4 linked regions of the Coturnix japonica genome follow. The protein of the gene in region 1 interacts with the protein of each later gene in a biochemical or structural test. Links are inferred from orthologs where the notes say so. Each region holds a gene or a part of one and is shown in the gene's direction. Other genes may lie near its edges.

Region 1 (3,941 bases):
TTTGCTGCAGTATGTAGCTGTATCTCTATGCATATGCTTTAGAAGCAAGAGAGAAGCTTTCCCTTTGAGAAGTCTCAATGCATGTTTTGTCCTCTTGGTGGTGTTCCATTAAAGACTAAAGTCTATCAGCATATAAGTGGAACATTGCTGATACACTCAAGCATTATTCTGTAACTTTCTGTCTCCTTTTGCAGAAGACAGTGGTCTCTTGATGATTTTGAAATTGGTCGTCCTCTGGGGAAAGGAAAATTTGGCAATGTATACTTGGCACGTGAAAAACAGAGTAAATTTATTCTTGCACTGAAAGTGTTGTTTAAAGCACAGCTTGAGGATGCTGGTGTAGAACATCAACTACGAAGAGAAGTTGAAATACAATCTCATCTCAGGTAATATAACTGTTACCCTCTTCTTAGTTTATGCTCAGTTAAAAAAGAAAGTAAACTCACTTGAAGAAAAGCAATTCTGTAATACGTGACACCTTGAAACTGCTTGTTAAGAAACTGCTTGTTAAGGTTCTTGCCATTCTGCCCCTGCCCCACCACCGCATGGACCAAAAAGAAAAGAGAACCCAAACATAGAAGCCAAGCACCTGGCCAGTTCTTACAAGTGGATGACTGCAATTTCTCAGTCTAAGCTTGTTCCTGGTATTCTGTTTCCTGTCAAATAAGCCCAACTTGCTGAATGAATTAGTTGTTTCACAGAAAATATGTTCAGGAAGGCATTTCAATTTCTTGCAGGCATCCCAACATTCTCAGACTATACGGCTACTTCCATGATGTTACAAGAGTCTACCTTATTCTAGAGTATGCACCTCGTGGAGAAGTCTTCAAGGAGCTACAGAAGCACACCAAATTCGATGAACAAAGAACTGCAACTGTAGGTTGTTCTAATTGCTTGTACGTTGCTTGCTCCTGTGTAGCATACCTGAAGTATGCAACTTTCTCCTGAAGAGCTAGCAATTTTCAGTTGCATAAAACTAACTTTTTGGATGCTAGCTTGCTTATGCACTTGCAGCCTGTTTAGGAATATGTTGGGAGGACAAACAACTTCAGTGTCAATGAATAATGTTCAGCATTGCCCAGCACTGTAATTTGTGTGGTCACTTCAAGCAACATCTGTTGCTTGTGAGTGCAAGGAACAATTTTTCTGCTCCAAACTGCTAATTATGACTAGAGAATATTATACTGTAGCTAATAAAGCTTGAGCATCAGTGTCTTCATATTTGACAGTTCTGTTTTCTTTGCAGTACATTACAGAACTAGCAGATGCCCTATCATACTGTCATTCCAAGAGTGTGATTCACCGGGACATCAAACCAGAAAACCTGCTGCTTGGCTCAAATGGAGAGTTAAAAATTGCAGACTTTGGATGGTCTGTGCATGCTCCATCCTCTAGGTAAGATCACAGTATATACCTTGTACAGTGAAATTCTTCTGTAATGAAAATTATAGCTTTCTTGCCAAACTTAGTTATGCAATGGAGGTAAATGTCAACTTACTGAAATACTGGGGGGGAGCATTTAATAATTGGGCCAGTGCTGTCAAGCTCTTAATATTTGATTGGCGTAGCATAGAGGGAACGTTATCCTGCTTCTCCATTTGTGTATCTGACAACTTACTGAACCTGAAACAAGGGTGTTAGTGCGCTGGTTTAGGGTTACAGTGGTCCCTGAAATGAAGATCAGAACTTCAGTTCATGCTGTACCTGGAATGTTTCCTTAGTATGAACTGCACCCAATGAAGAAAGCCTCACTGACCTGTGAGCCAGTGGGAGAGGCAAAAAGGAAGGGCAAAACTGCCTGTCATGATCAGAATACTTCAAAGCAAACCTAGAATGACTGATGGAATTCCAGAGATACTGGGTTTATCTGGGGTAGACTACACTGAGATACAGATAAGAACACTGGAATCAAGATGCTAATACTAACAAACAGCCACAAAGGGTAAATGATACACTGTACTCTGTGCTTTTCTTCAGGAGATCAACTCTCTGTGGGACACTTGACTACTTGCCTCCTGAAATGATTGAGGGAAGAACACATGATGAAAAGGTGGATATTTGGAGCCTGGGGGTTCTGTGCTATGAATTCCTTGTAGGAAAGCCACCTTTTGAAGCAGCAACATATCAAGAAACCTACAGAGCTATTTCCAGGGTATGTACCATAACTTTGACTAGGTGAATTTTGGTTTCACTTCTTGTCTTCTTGAAAGTTTAATATTGCTTTTGAGGGAAGGAAAGCCATAACGAGATACACAGAAAACTAGATCCCTAAAGCTATCCTGAAGTGACTCCAGTAGAATTACAATAAAGACAGCTTTCCTGGCTGCTTGGTTCTGTTCTGTTTCTACCTGTATCTGAACACCAACCTTTTCATATAGCAGTTTATTCTTCACAATCTCCTCCACTACTTTCATGTTTCTGGTATATAAAATATTAATTGCTTGAGGTATCAGGAAAAACTTAAATTATATATTTCTAGAGTTCTGTAAACTTGAGAGGTTCCAGCAATGAGGTTTTATGTTGGGAGCACCCAAAAAAGCACACTAGCTGAACTTTGGCAAGCAGCGAGAGCCTTGTGATGAAATTACTAGGTACAAGGTACATAGCCCACAAGGCTGACAGTTTTCTTTGCTCTCTGTACCTTGGGGGGCAGAACCCTATTGCTTTCCAGTTTTGATTAGTGCCAAAGAATATTGCATCATCTTTTGTCTTGTTTCCTTTTCTTAGGTGGAATTCAGGTATCCAGTATTTGTAACAGAAGGTGCAAGAGATTTAATTTCAAAGCTTCTGAAACATAACCCATTCCATCGGCTGCCCTTGAAGGATGTACTTGTTCATCCCTGGATTACAGCAAATTCTACAAAGCTGCCCAACAATAGGAAGTGATGTTGCCACCCCATCCAGAATATAGTCTTAACAAGGGTAATCTCATTGGACTAACGAGGAGATTTGTACTGTGACTACTGTAATACAGTAAGAAGAGCAGGTCTTGGAATCCAGTGGCAATTAAGAACACAAGTTTTGGGTTGGTTATCATCTTGAACTGACCTTGAATTGCAACGTAATCTATTTGACTTCTAGCTGGATGTTGTGGAATACTTAATGTACTTGAAAAATAACTACACGTGGGCCAGATTTATTCATGTAAGTATTCAAGGTCTGTTCAAGGCCTTTATGGTATGGTCTGTCATAGTTATAGCACATTGTTCCAATAACAAGAGACAGTGATGGTTCTATCTTACTGAACAGTGCAATATCCCAGAGATACCTGCCTGTGAACTCACTGGGCTGCTAAAGGGTATCATACCTGTGGTGTAATCTGAAACTGAGGTGAATGCATTTGTGTCCTAAAAATGAATGATGTGTGCATTTTGTCTCTAGTTTTTTGTCTTATATGTGAGCGCTCAAGTATCTAAATAAAGATTGCTTATATATTGAAAAGCATGGTAAGGTTCCTTACAATACATAGTATCTTGGGTGCTGGCTGCCTCCAACTTCCTGTCATTACTGTCATACTAGGCACATCTTGACTTACCTCCATGGTCACAGACTCTAGCTCTGTCCAGAAGTAAGTTGATATAAATTAAGTTCTTGCTGTAAGTGCTGGTGTTGTGGAAGTAGATGCAGCTATTATTCTTCAGGAAAGTACTAGAAGTGTTACTAAATACCTCACGAGAGTTTCACAGTCACTTAAAAACTAAATCTGCTTCTTTCTTTGCAGCTGAAGTGTAATAGTCATAGGTGAGGTGCACATACACACCACAAACAAGGAACAAAAAACCAAAGCATGCTGCTTACCAATCCATGTTTCCAATTCTCTGGTGTTTATACTCTGGGCTCCAATTTTTTTCCCCTCTATTTAGAAATTATTAGAAGCAGAAGTAATAGATTAGAACCTGGGCTTCATAGCTACCATAGACATAAATGGCAAAGCATCTCAC
Region 2 (3,500 bases), on another chromosome or scaffold:
GAGCAGAGCCCAAAGTGCACAGGAACAGGCAGACAAAGCTGAAGCACTGCGCCAGGTGGGAAAGGGATGAGAAGTCAGCTGGGTGGCTTTTCTTTCCCCCTTTTCTGGGAAGGAGGTATCCAAAGCCTTATCTGCCCTGATGATGTTAGCAGGTGAATGGAGATGTGTGGATGTGGGGAGAATTCCCGGTATGTTCTGGTTGTTCTTAAAACTAAAAAACAAAACCCACCATAATATACAAAATGGAAATTCAAAGATGTAGTATCTGGTATGTTCTGTTTCCATTCCAATTAGTGTTGTACAACCCAATGGGTCCTGTATTATGTCAGGGGCTTTAACATGCTAATACACGCTGTGCAGGAGGTGTAGCACCTGTCTGTGGGCATGTGGTTCATAGGAGCCCTAACACAGGCTGTCCTGGGACATGAGTGATATTCTGCTCCCATCTTTTCCACTCTATCCAGTACACTACAATTGGTCCTAAGGCAAGGAGAAGGCTTTGTTTAATGCTTGCATGCAAAGCTCTGAACTGATGGGAGGGGGTTGTCTCCCACAGCTCCCCAGATGCCCTGACCTCTCTGACCTTCAGAACGAAGTCTCTAGTTTGATGACTAGAAATGAAAAGCTGCTGAAAGAGAAGGAAGCGCTGAGCGAGGAATTAAGCAGGTGTATTGATAAGGTAAGGCAGGACTGCACACCCGTGTCCCTACCCATGTGCTGTAATGAGGTACTGAAGTCCTTATATCAGAGTCTGCATCCCTTTAAGCAATAGAACTACTTTGGGTTTCCTTCTTACCTTCAGGCCAGATCAAGGTTTCCGTGCCATTGCATATTTTCCCTCATTGCTATTAAAAAGAGCTTTTGGAGCATAGCTTGAGTGCAATTTGGTCACATAGCAAATTCCAAACGTCGTGAGGAGCAGAGGCATGGATAGAAATGTTGCAGCAGGACAAGGAGGGCAGTGTTCTTGCACTCTGTGCTAACTCCAGGCCGGGGCAGCACAGTAAGCATGCCATAAATAATGATCTTGTTGTGCATAGATTGAAACTGAGTTGGTTGGGCTGTGGTTTATTTTTTGCTCCCCTCTAACTTCCTTGCGGAGCTGTAACTCCATCTATCATAACTCCTGAAGTCAAACTGAGTTAAAGAAAATCCCAGATGATTCAGGCTTAGCTGTGTAATCTTATTCCAGGTGGCCAAAGTAAGCTTCTTGGAGAGCACAGTTGGCGGCTTGAAGCAGGAGCAGAAGTCTTGGGAGCAGCAGAGTCAGACCCTGAAAACACAGCTATCAGTTTCACAGGAGAAGGTATAACAGTGGGTTTTGTTACGGTCCTGAATCAAAGCATCTCAGAATTTCTGGTACAGCTTCTTTCATAGAAAACAGCCCTCTTCTAACATGTGCAGAGACTCCGTGCAGCTGAGAATGGGCGCTTTGATGGGCTTTCAAAGTGATGTCCTTAAAGGACAAAAGGAAACTTGTTAAATATGACCTTTTTTTCCCCACTTCCAAGTTCTTCTTGCCAATTCACTCTGTCCCACTGCAGAGATCCTGCTTCTGCTCCCTGCTTTCTGGTGCTAGCTTGTTTCCTAGCAGCCAAGGGAAGGGAAAAATGGCCATTTACTTGGCTGATGGTGCTTCTCTTGACTCTTATTGGCCATGAAGAAATAATTCCAAGAGAATCTCCTTTTCCCAGCATATCGCAGTCAATATTCTGGGATGGAAGGTGTCTGGGTGTGGTATTTTGGCCATATTTAAGAGTGTAAGGCAGCTCATTTGAAGCAGAGACTTGAAGATCTGGTTAGTGTTATAGGAGGGTGGGCCACCAGTGTCACCTCATCACCTCTTTCCAACAGCCAGCAGTCAAATAGCAGATGTTTGTGGCACGTTGCAGGTTCAGAGCTTGGATGAAACCCTGCAGACCACCACCCTCCAGATGTCCCGCCTGAGGTCAGACCTGCGGGTGGCACAGCAGGAGAAGGAAGCTCTCGAACAAGAGGTGATGTCTTTACACAAGCAGCTGCAGAACGCCAATGAGAAGGTAACTGACCTCTATCAGATCCACGTGGGTGACCTATAGATGGGCATCCTGTCTCTGGAGCCAGTCTCATTTTTAGCTTGGCTCATTAATGTACAAGGCAGAAATGGTGCTGCAGGCCTGAGCAAGTAGATTCTGAATGACATTGGTTTTGACTCTTGTAAACACAAGTGATGGAAAGCTCGCAGTCAAACTGGCTGGAGGGAGGAGGGTATAAAAAAAATAACACAATATTTCTGTGCTACTTACTGGTTTTAATAGTTTTCATTTTTAAGAGTTAACTATCATTAGGTTGGTAAGGTTGTTTGCAATGCCAAGCTGATGAGGAGGTGGGTCTGAAGGAGGTGGCAGGCAGCAGTCCTGAATTGGCATTATGAGTTTAGCCCCTGATTTGGCTCCTTTGCCCTGTAATTAAAGGAGTATTTAACATCCACACAGAAAGGAGAGTGCTTGAGAATTGTGCAACAGGAGCTGAATCACAGCTATTACTGAATAATGTGTAATGGGGTTCTGTTATTTACTTGATGAGGCTCCAAAATAGAGCCCTATTTCCCTTTTTGTGCCGCTGAGTTGTGTGTGCACTCACAGTAACCATTCCAGCTGTGATTGTGGTGAAGTGCTTGGCTGCATGCTGGGATGACCATGCTGGATTTGACTGGGAAATGGCACACAGGCTGGGAGGGAGATGGAACCCTGCAGCTACCAAAAGCCTCCTTAAACCCCACCTGAACAGAGAAAACGTCTGCTTCTCTGTTGAAGGCCTAACCCTGCAATTCTGTCTGTCTTAAGAACCGAGTCCTAGCACGGGCTGTGCCTTCCCCAGGGCGCTCACAGCAGGATGAGCTGGAGCAGCTGATGGCCCAGGAGCAGCAGCTGCTGCAGCAGGAGAAGGAACGGCTGCAGAGGGAGGCCCGGAGTTCTGCCACAGAGCTGGTGCATGCCAGGGAGAAGGTAGGGGACCATTCAGATAGTCTCTTGTCTAGGATTCTGGTCTTGCCCCCTCTGCTCTGCACTGAGGGGAGATTACATCCGGAGTACTGGATCTCCTTCTGGGTTCCTCAGTTCTAAGCAGATGCGCAGCAAAGGGCTGCAGAGGTGGTAGGGGTCATCTGGACACTTTCCTGTGCAACCTACTGTAGGGAACCTGCTTTAGCTGGGGATTCATAAAGTCACACAATAGCCTGGGCTGCAAAGGCCCACAGTGCTCACCCAGCTCCAACCCCCTGCTGTGTGCAGGGTCACCAACCAGCAGCCCAGGCTGCCCAGAGCCACATCCAGCCTGGCCTTGAATGCCTGCAGGGATGGGGCATCCACAGCCTCCTTGGGCAACCTGTTCCAGTGCGTCACCACCCTCTGGGGGAAAAACTTCCTCCTAAGATCCAACCTGAACCTCCCCTGTCTCAGTTTCAAACCATTCCCCCTTGTCCTATCACTGCCCACCCTGGGTGGAATGTGGAAGCTCCA
Region 3 (3,500 bases), on another chromosome or scaffold:
ATTGTATGTCAAAATTGTGGATCCTTGAATGAACCCCATGGGTTAGTTGATAAGGTCAACTTAAATTCACTTTTGACATCGGCTTGCCAGAAGGAAGAGCAGTTGCTAGCAGAGGTGAAGAGGCAGGAGCAAGAACAGAAGAAACTCCCAAAGGAACAAAAGGCTACAGATGTAGCACAAACACAGCACCTAGAAAACAAAGAGGTAACTGCTCTCTGGTGGAAATTTCTTTAAGGGATCACATCGGAGAACTTGGACTCCAGCACTGGCATGCTGTTACTGTGAGCAATATTACCTCCCACTTTTTATTTTTAATTCCCTTTCAGTAGTGAAGGGATGCTGTAAACTTTTCCCTTAGTTACCTGAGGTCAGTTCCTGATGGCCTTGAATACTTTAAATGGCTTTCAGGTACTGAAAATGCAAGAAGGGAAGCAGCAAGTATTTGTTAGGATTTTTCTAGCTGTTGGAATAAGGCAGTGGCTGTTAAAGTTACCTTGCCTTCTCTGAACTTGCTTAAAATACTGAATGTTGGAGGCAGCAAAGATACTGAAATGGTTGTATTTAAGTTCAAAACTGGAACCAGCCACAAGATGGCAGCAGAGTCTGTGGAATAGTGTTGCATTTGTGCTGCACTACCACTGGAGTGTGAGACTGTGTTGGAGATGAATGTACACTGTGAACATGAAAGACAAATGAATACATGGATCTTTATTTTCTTTTGAAGCTATATAATTTAATCTTTAAATGCAAAAGGAATGAAATGTAAACTAACTGTAATGTATATGGAGCCGTTAAAAAAGCATGTTGTGGGAGCAAAACTGTTTTTAGCACTTTTGAGATACTCATCTCTCGTTAAGAACTGACTGAAGTTTCATGGAATTTGCTGTTTTAAGTTATTTTCATGACTTGCATTTCTCTCAGTCATACTGTTCCCATCAAAATTGCAATACAGAAAATGCATGTCTCAGAATAAACTGTAAAAGATACTTCACGTAATAGTGTTAAACAACTGGGTGTTAAGTTGCATAGTACTTACAGGACGTAACTTAGATCCAGCTCTGAGGACGTGACAGCTGTATTTAAAGTGCCTTATTTCAAAGGAAACTGCTGTGTCTGTGTTAGGATGAGTGTATTGCCAGCTTACTTATGTCCTCATTAGGCAATTAAGTGGCCTAGTTAAACAAGAGAAGGCGGTGCAAAGTCAAAACTTCAGAACTGACAACTTGTAGGTTTCAGAATTGTGCAGTACAGCAAGGGGGAAGACCAAGATACTATAAGCTACAAGCATCTCATTACAACTTGGAAGTGTAGTAATACTACTGTGTCTAATGTCTGGTAATATGTTCATCTTCTAGAATTCACCTGCCTGCAATTCATACCAGATGACTCCACAGAACCATAAAGATCCAAAGCCCCCCAAGATAAATCCAAATAACTATGGAATGGATCTGAACAGCGATGACTCTACTGATGATGAAAGCCAGCCTCGCAAACCCATCCCTGCCTGGGCCAGCGGTATGTGTTAGCAGGTTAAAATCTGTCCTGAAAGTCTCCAACCAGCCCCAATGCAGCTTTGTTCCCATGGATAATGGTGGTTATAAGATTAAGCCTCTTCTACCAACTGGGAGCTTTGTGGAGCAGCACTGGGGAATAACACTCTTTTAAACCACCTCAACACTACTGCCAGTGTGAGTGTGGAGGAGTTATGAACTGCTGTTCTGGCCTTGAAGTGTGCTAGGCCATGCAGTTTACAGAAGCTGGCTGTTGTCCTGCTTCTAAAATAACTGCCACAGGGGAAACTAAAAAGTTGGTGTGGAAACTGACAGGACCCATAGAAAGAAAAGCTAAGAAACCTTGTCTCTTCCTGGCCAGAATTCAGTATGTTCTCTCACACCAAGGGACCTGTGCTGAAGCTTTAGGCATAATCAAGTGCTTTAAAATGTCAAATGTTACAGGTGTTTTGTATATTGCAATATTTGTGTGATTAGAACCAAAGGGAGCAGGGATGCATGGCATATGAACAGTCTACAAAGCAATTTCAATGGCAAAAAAATAATGATAACTCTGATCTTTTGTTTCTCCAGGGAATCAGCTTAGCCAAGCAATAATCCGCCAGTACTACAACCCTCCCAATGTTGATGCACTCTTTGGGACGATCGTAAGCCCCAAGTTGGAGGACATCTTTTACAAAAGCAAACCACGTTACTTCAAGCGCACCAGCTCTGCTGTGTGGAACTCCCCACCGTTTCCAGGTGCCAAATCAGTTCTAGGTCTGCCATATGGCCTGAAAAAGTACTGAGGTGGACAGTAACTGTCTCCTGTGGAGCAATAATATGCATTTGTGTCTCTCTGGGTGAGAAGAGAGATGCTATTCAATATCCCTAAATCTTTAGGCTCTAGCGTTTAATAAATGTCAGCTCTGACTGGGCCTCTTACATTTTCTATTTTGGAGGCTTGTTTTCTCACTGTTGAGTAAAGTTGCAGGCTATGGGGAGATCTTGCTTCTGAACTGTGCATCTCCTTTTTCCTTCAACCTTAAGATGGCAAAGATTTAGACTTATAGGTCATGAGAATGTATCATCTAAAGCAAATGTGGTTGTTGATGGATACAGTAGGGAAAGGTGTGTCAGTACTGTTCCTGCAGCCCTATGGTGAAAGCCAGAGTATTGTACAGCTAATGACTGCTGTATGCATCTCGAGTCAAGTCCAAAACACTGCTGATGTCCTTAAGAATAAATATATTAGCAGCCATGTCTCCATCTCCTGCAAACTGCAAAATAATTTGGTTTGGTTATCATTAGGAAGCTCTATGTCAACACCAAATGCATTTATGTACATAAGCTATGTTGATGTTACTGCAGCTCGGGAGGAAATATCCTGAGGATCTTAATGACCTTTCTTCTGTTGTTGGAGAGAGATGTGACCCTGGAGTTAATCATGTCTCCAAGAATACCCAGAGTAGCATAAGTAATCTTTGTACTTCCAGCTGTCTTTCAAGTAAATTATACCAAAGGTTATGGTATTCTTTAATTTCCACATTTGTGGCAGATTGGATTAAAAGGATGTTTTTGTTCAGTTTTAGTTCTTGTCTTGTTCCTTTCCCCCTTAGGTATTTCACTTACTCAGCATCAAAGCTGGTTTCATTTTTAGGCCTTCACTTTGCTCTTCTTGCTCAGTAAAGCAATGTTAAAACAGTTTCCTCACAACATCAAAATATGAGCTCAGAATTTCAGCTCTGAGATCACATGGTGTTCTTGTCTACAAGTTTCAGTATAGAGAGAAGTCCCAGTAGGACAGTGACATTTTACAAGGAAACAGTTACGTTAATTTCTGTAGGTTTCCGTGGAAGTCTGTCTTCTGCGAAGTAGACAAAATACATTGTTCTTACCTCAGAATCATCTTTTCTGGGAGGCTTGATTTGGTTTTAAAGATGGGTGAGTATTTGTGGCTGCGGCCTCAGTCAGTGGACTGAGAACACTGTACATACAGCTCGGGTGCTT
Region 4 (3,647 bases), on another chromosome or scaffold:
ACTGTGTGCCCATACACCCCCCTGTGTGCCCATACACCCCCCTGTGTGCCCATACACCCCCNACACCCCCCTGTGTGCCCATACACCCCCTGTGTGCCCATACACCCCCTGTGTGCCCATACACCCCTCTGTGTGCCCATACACCCCCCTGTGTGCCTATATACCCGTCTGTGTGCCCGTACACCCCACTGTGTGCCCATACATCCCCATACACCCCCCTGTGTGCCCATACACCCCCCTGTGTGCCCATACACCCCACTGTGTGCCCATACATCCCCATACATCCCCACTCTGTGCCCATACATCCCCACTCTGTGCCCGTACACCCCACTGTGTGCCCGTACACCCCACTGTGTGCCCATATATCCCACTGTGTGCCCATAATAATATGATTTCTGTCTTCCAGGCGCCTTTGGCCCAGCCTGAATCCCCCACAGCCTCAGCAGGGGACGATGCCCGTTCGGCTGCAGAGTCTGGAGAGTCAGACAAGGAGTCGGTCTGCAGCAGCTCAGCGAGTAACGGGGGCAGCAAAGGCTGCAAAGATAAAGAGAAACCAAAGAAAGAACGAGAAAAGGACAAGGAAAAAGATAAGAAACGGGCCGACTCGGTGGCCAATAAGCTGGGCAGCTTCGGCAAGACTTTGGGAAGTAAGTTAAAAAAGAACATGGGTGGGTTGATGCACAGCAAAACCATCAAGGGAGGGGTGAGCAACGGGCAGGGGGACACCCTGGAGAAGAAGAAGAAGGGATCGTTGAAGACGAGGAAAGGCAGCAAAGAGGAAACAGCCCAGGGGGACCTTTGTGCTCATGGGGAGAAAAGCTGCACCACGGGTAAAGCAGCCTCTGAAAAACCCTCGGACCCCTATAAATACAGCAACGATGTGAGGCTCAGCCTCAGCATCCTACGTGCTGCCATGCAGGGAGAGCGCAAGTTCATCTTTGCTGGACACCTGAAAACGGGCCATCGGCACCAGTACCAGGAGGAGATGATCCAGCAATACCTCCTGGATGCCGAGGAGAGATTCCTGGCCGAGCAGAAGCAAAAAGAGGCTGAAAAAAAGGCATTAGGAAACGCAGCCCCTGTTAAGAAGCTGGAGGTGGAAGTGAGGGCTGAGGAAACGCTACACGGCCCCGTGTACCCCCAGCCCCCCCCAACCTACACCATCCACCCCCCGGATTTGGCCATCGGGGCTAAAATAGCCTCATTCCCCTCCAGTTATTCGGGGGTCTTCACCTTCCCCAGACCCTCAGTGATCAGCAGCAGCACAGAAGGGTCTCACCCCCCCGGTTACCACGAGGGTCGACGGCAGGTAGCGGGGGGGTCCTGCAGCAGCCTCCCCCCTTACGCCACCCTACCCAGGCATTGCAGCCAGGCACGGCCACAACCTCCCCACGTAGGAAGGTTTTCCCCTACGGACATGGATGTTCATCCAGGTTTTAATACAGAGTGTGAAGCCTTCACTTGCGTTGCCCCCCAGCACAACAACAGCAATGGTTACAGGGAGTATGTGGATCAGGATGGCGCTCAGAAAGGAACGGCGATAGATAAAACAAGAGGGAGGGTTGTTTGTAATATCCAACAACCCAAATGCAAACAGCCAAATTGCAGCTTTTACGGCCATCCGGAGACTGGGAATTTCTGCTCCTGTTGTTATAAAGAGGAGATGAAACGGAAAGAGCGCGAGGCGTTGGTGCACAGGTTCTGACCCGCGACACGCGGGGACAGCGATAACGTGGGTTATCCATATACCCCCCTCCTTGGCTGGAAGGAGATGGGGGGGATGATGATGGAGGGGATTCAGCCCCTTCAAACCTTGAGGGCTCATTGGGGTCAATGTGGGAGCTGGGGGTGGAAGGGGCTTCCAAGCCATTTGTATCCCAAACCAAAGCTTTCGGCTGGACCCCGAAGCCGCCTGGTTGCCCACCATCCCAATAAGGAAAAGTCACAGACCTTTTAAAACACAGAAATGTTTTATTTTATTTCCTTTTTTTTGTTTTTTTAACACTTTCCTACGACGACGGTTTATTTTTTTCCCAGTACTGAGAGCAACACGTTCGGAATGGGACGTTACCATTCGGTTTCGGAGCCCATGGGGTGGCTCAGCGCCTTCAGGCTCTGCCCTGCCCCCATATACAAGCTGGGCTCTGGGTTTTTAATGCTGGTTCTTATTAAGCTCTTAATGAGGGTGGGGAGGGGGACGGAGGGGGGTCTCAGCACCAAATGGGGTTGAGTGCCCCCCAATTGAGTTCCATTGGCGGTACGGAGATGGACTGAAAGCAGGTGGGTGCCTCAGCAGCAATAGCTCCAATTTATGGGGCAGGATTGAATAGCCCCAACTTATGGGGCAGGATTGAATAGCTCCAGCTTAGGGGGCAGGATTGAATAGCCCCAACGTATGGGGCAGGATTGAATAGCCCCAACTTATGGGGCAGGATTGAATAGCTTCAACGTATGGGGCAGGATTGAATAGCTTCAACGTATGGGGCAGGATTGAATAGCCCCAACTTACGGGGCAGGATCGAATAGCCCCAACTAATAGGGCAGGATTGAATAGCCCCAACGTATGGGGCAGGATTGAATAGCTCCAACGTAAGACCAGGATCGAATAGCTCCAACTTATGGGGCAGGATTGAGGCCGGAGCCCTGCAGCACTGGGGAGGTAACGCTGCTTCCAGCCCCGCGGCGGATCCACGCGATAATAACTTTCTACTTGAGCGAAGCTACTTCCATACTACCTCTGTTCTGCTGAATAGAATTAACTCTGGCTCCATTTTGCCGAGCCGCGTAACTGACCTTTAGGCTGAGTGATATTAAATGATATATTTTGGGTTTTTTTGGGTTTTTTTTTTGATAACAGGGCTAAAATATAAGGGGTGAACCTAAAGGAAAGTGAACCCGTCAGCTCTTTAAATGCGATATAAGGGGGCCCAGCCTTCCCCCATCCCCCCCAGTTTATAAAGGGGGTTTATGGGGGGGGCTGTGATTTAACACTGCGATGTTTGCACAGATTCCTTTTTGTATTTGAAGCTCCCGAACTGGGGCTCGAATCCTCAGCCCAGTTTTGTTTGTATAAGAGAGAACGAGGTTCAGAGTTTGAACGTATGGAAATAAATGAGTTGGGCCGGTAACTCCGAGCTTTAAACACGTCCCATCCTTGTTGTTTATTATAAGGATATAATAAGGATATAATAAGGATATAATAAACACCCACCCCCCCCATAGAACATCAGCCCCTCTTCTCCCCCCCCCATAGAACATCAGCCCCTCTTCCCCCCCCCCCATAGAACATCAGCCCCTCTTCCCCCCCCCCCATAGAACATCAGCCCCTCTTCTCCCCCCCCCATAGAACATCAGCCCCTCTTCCCCCCCCCCCCAATTAGCCAACTCCATTCCCCTTTATGGGGAGGACTTACCCCTTATAGACCTTATATAAGGGGGTATATATATATATAACGGGTATATATATATATATATAAGGGGTATATATAACCTTATAGGCTTGGTTCTGATGGCTGGTTCTGCCCCATTTCATGGCTGAGATCCCACAGGACTTTGGATTTTCCCATTATTAGGGCAGCATTTGGGCTCAGATGGTTGGAAATAGGGATTTCTTTCCACTCACTGCAGTTCTTTTGGGGTTTTCCTAT

Evidence for each region.
Region 2: of the proteins of AURKA (region 1) and NIN, one has a biochemical effect on the other in vitro, tested with the Homo sapiens proteins (2 studies listed by BioGRID). The link is inferred for Coturnix japonica from reciprocal best matches to the Homo sapiens genes AURKA and NIN.
Region 3: the proteins of AURKA (region 1) and INCENP form a complex in vitro, tested with the Homo sapiens proteins (3 studies listed by BioGRID and IntAct, with this or other methods). The link is inferred for Coturnix japonica from reciprocal best matches to the Homo sapiens genes AURKA and INCENP.
Region 4: of the proteins of AURKA (region 1) and OTUD7B, one has a biochemical effect on the other in vitro, tested with the Homo sapiens proteins (2 studies listed by BioGRID, with this or other methods). The link is inferred for Coturnix japonica from reciprocal best matches to the Homo sapiens genes AURKA and OTUD7B.

The regions. Positions count from the first base shown.
Region 1 is NC_029535.1:10,858,926-10,862,866, forward strand, and holds the end of AURKA (aurora kinase A), read left to right. Parts: intron 1-194; coding exon 195-386; intron 387-737; coding exon 738-876; intron 877-1,246; coding exon 1,247-1,395; intron 1,396-1,977; coding exon 1,978-2,152; intron 2,153-2,727; coding exon 2,728-2,886; 3' UTR 2,887-3,441; downstream 3,442-3,941. UniProt on the Homo sapiens protein: Mitotic serine/threonine kinase that contributes to the regulation of cell cycle progression.
Region 2 is NC_029520.1:52,541,541-52,545,040, reverse strand, and holds part of NIN (ninein), read left to right. Parts: intron 1-556; coding exon 557-679; intron 680-1,192; coding exon 1,193-1,306; intron 1,307-1,892; coding exon 1,893-2,039; intron 2,040-2,825; coding exon 2,826-2,987; intron 2,988-3,500. UniProt on the Homo sapiens protein: Centrosomal protein required in the positioning and anchorage of the microtubule minus-end in epithelial cells. May also act as a centrosome maturation factor.
Region 3 is NC_029520.1:7,686,538-7,690,037, reverse strand, and holds part of INCENP (inner centromere protein), read left to right. Parts: intron 1-46; coding exon of another isoform or gene 47-64; exon of another isoform or gene 65-90; coding exon 91-204; intron 205-1,355; coding exon 1,356-1,515; intron 1,516-2,084; coding exon 2,085-2,299; 3' UTR 2,300-3,500. UniProt on the Homo sapiens protein: Component of the chromosomal passenger complex (CPC), a complex that acts as a key regulator of mitosis.
Region 4 is NC_029540.1:381,921-385,567, forward strand, and holds the end of OTUD7B (OTU domain-containing protein 7B), read left to right. Parts: intron 1-406; coding exon 407-1,705; 3' UTR 1,706-3,147; downstream 3,148-3,647. UniProt on the Homo sapiens protein: Negative regulator of the non-canonical NF-kappa-B pathway that acts by mediating deubiquitination of TRAF3, an inhibitor of the NF-kappa-B pathway, thereby acting as a negative regulator of B-cell responses.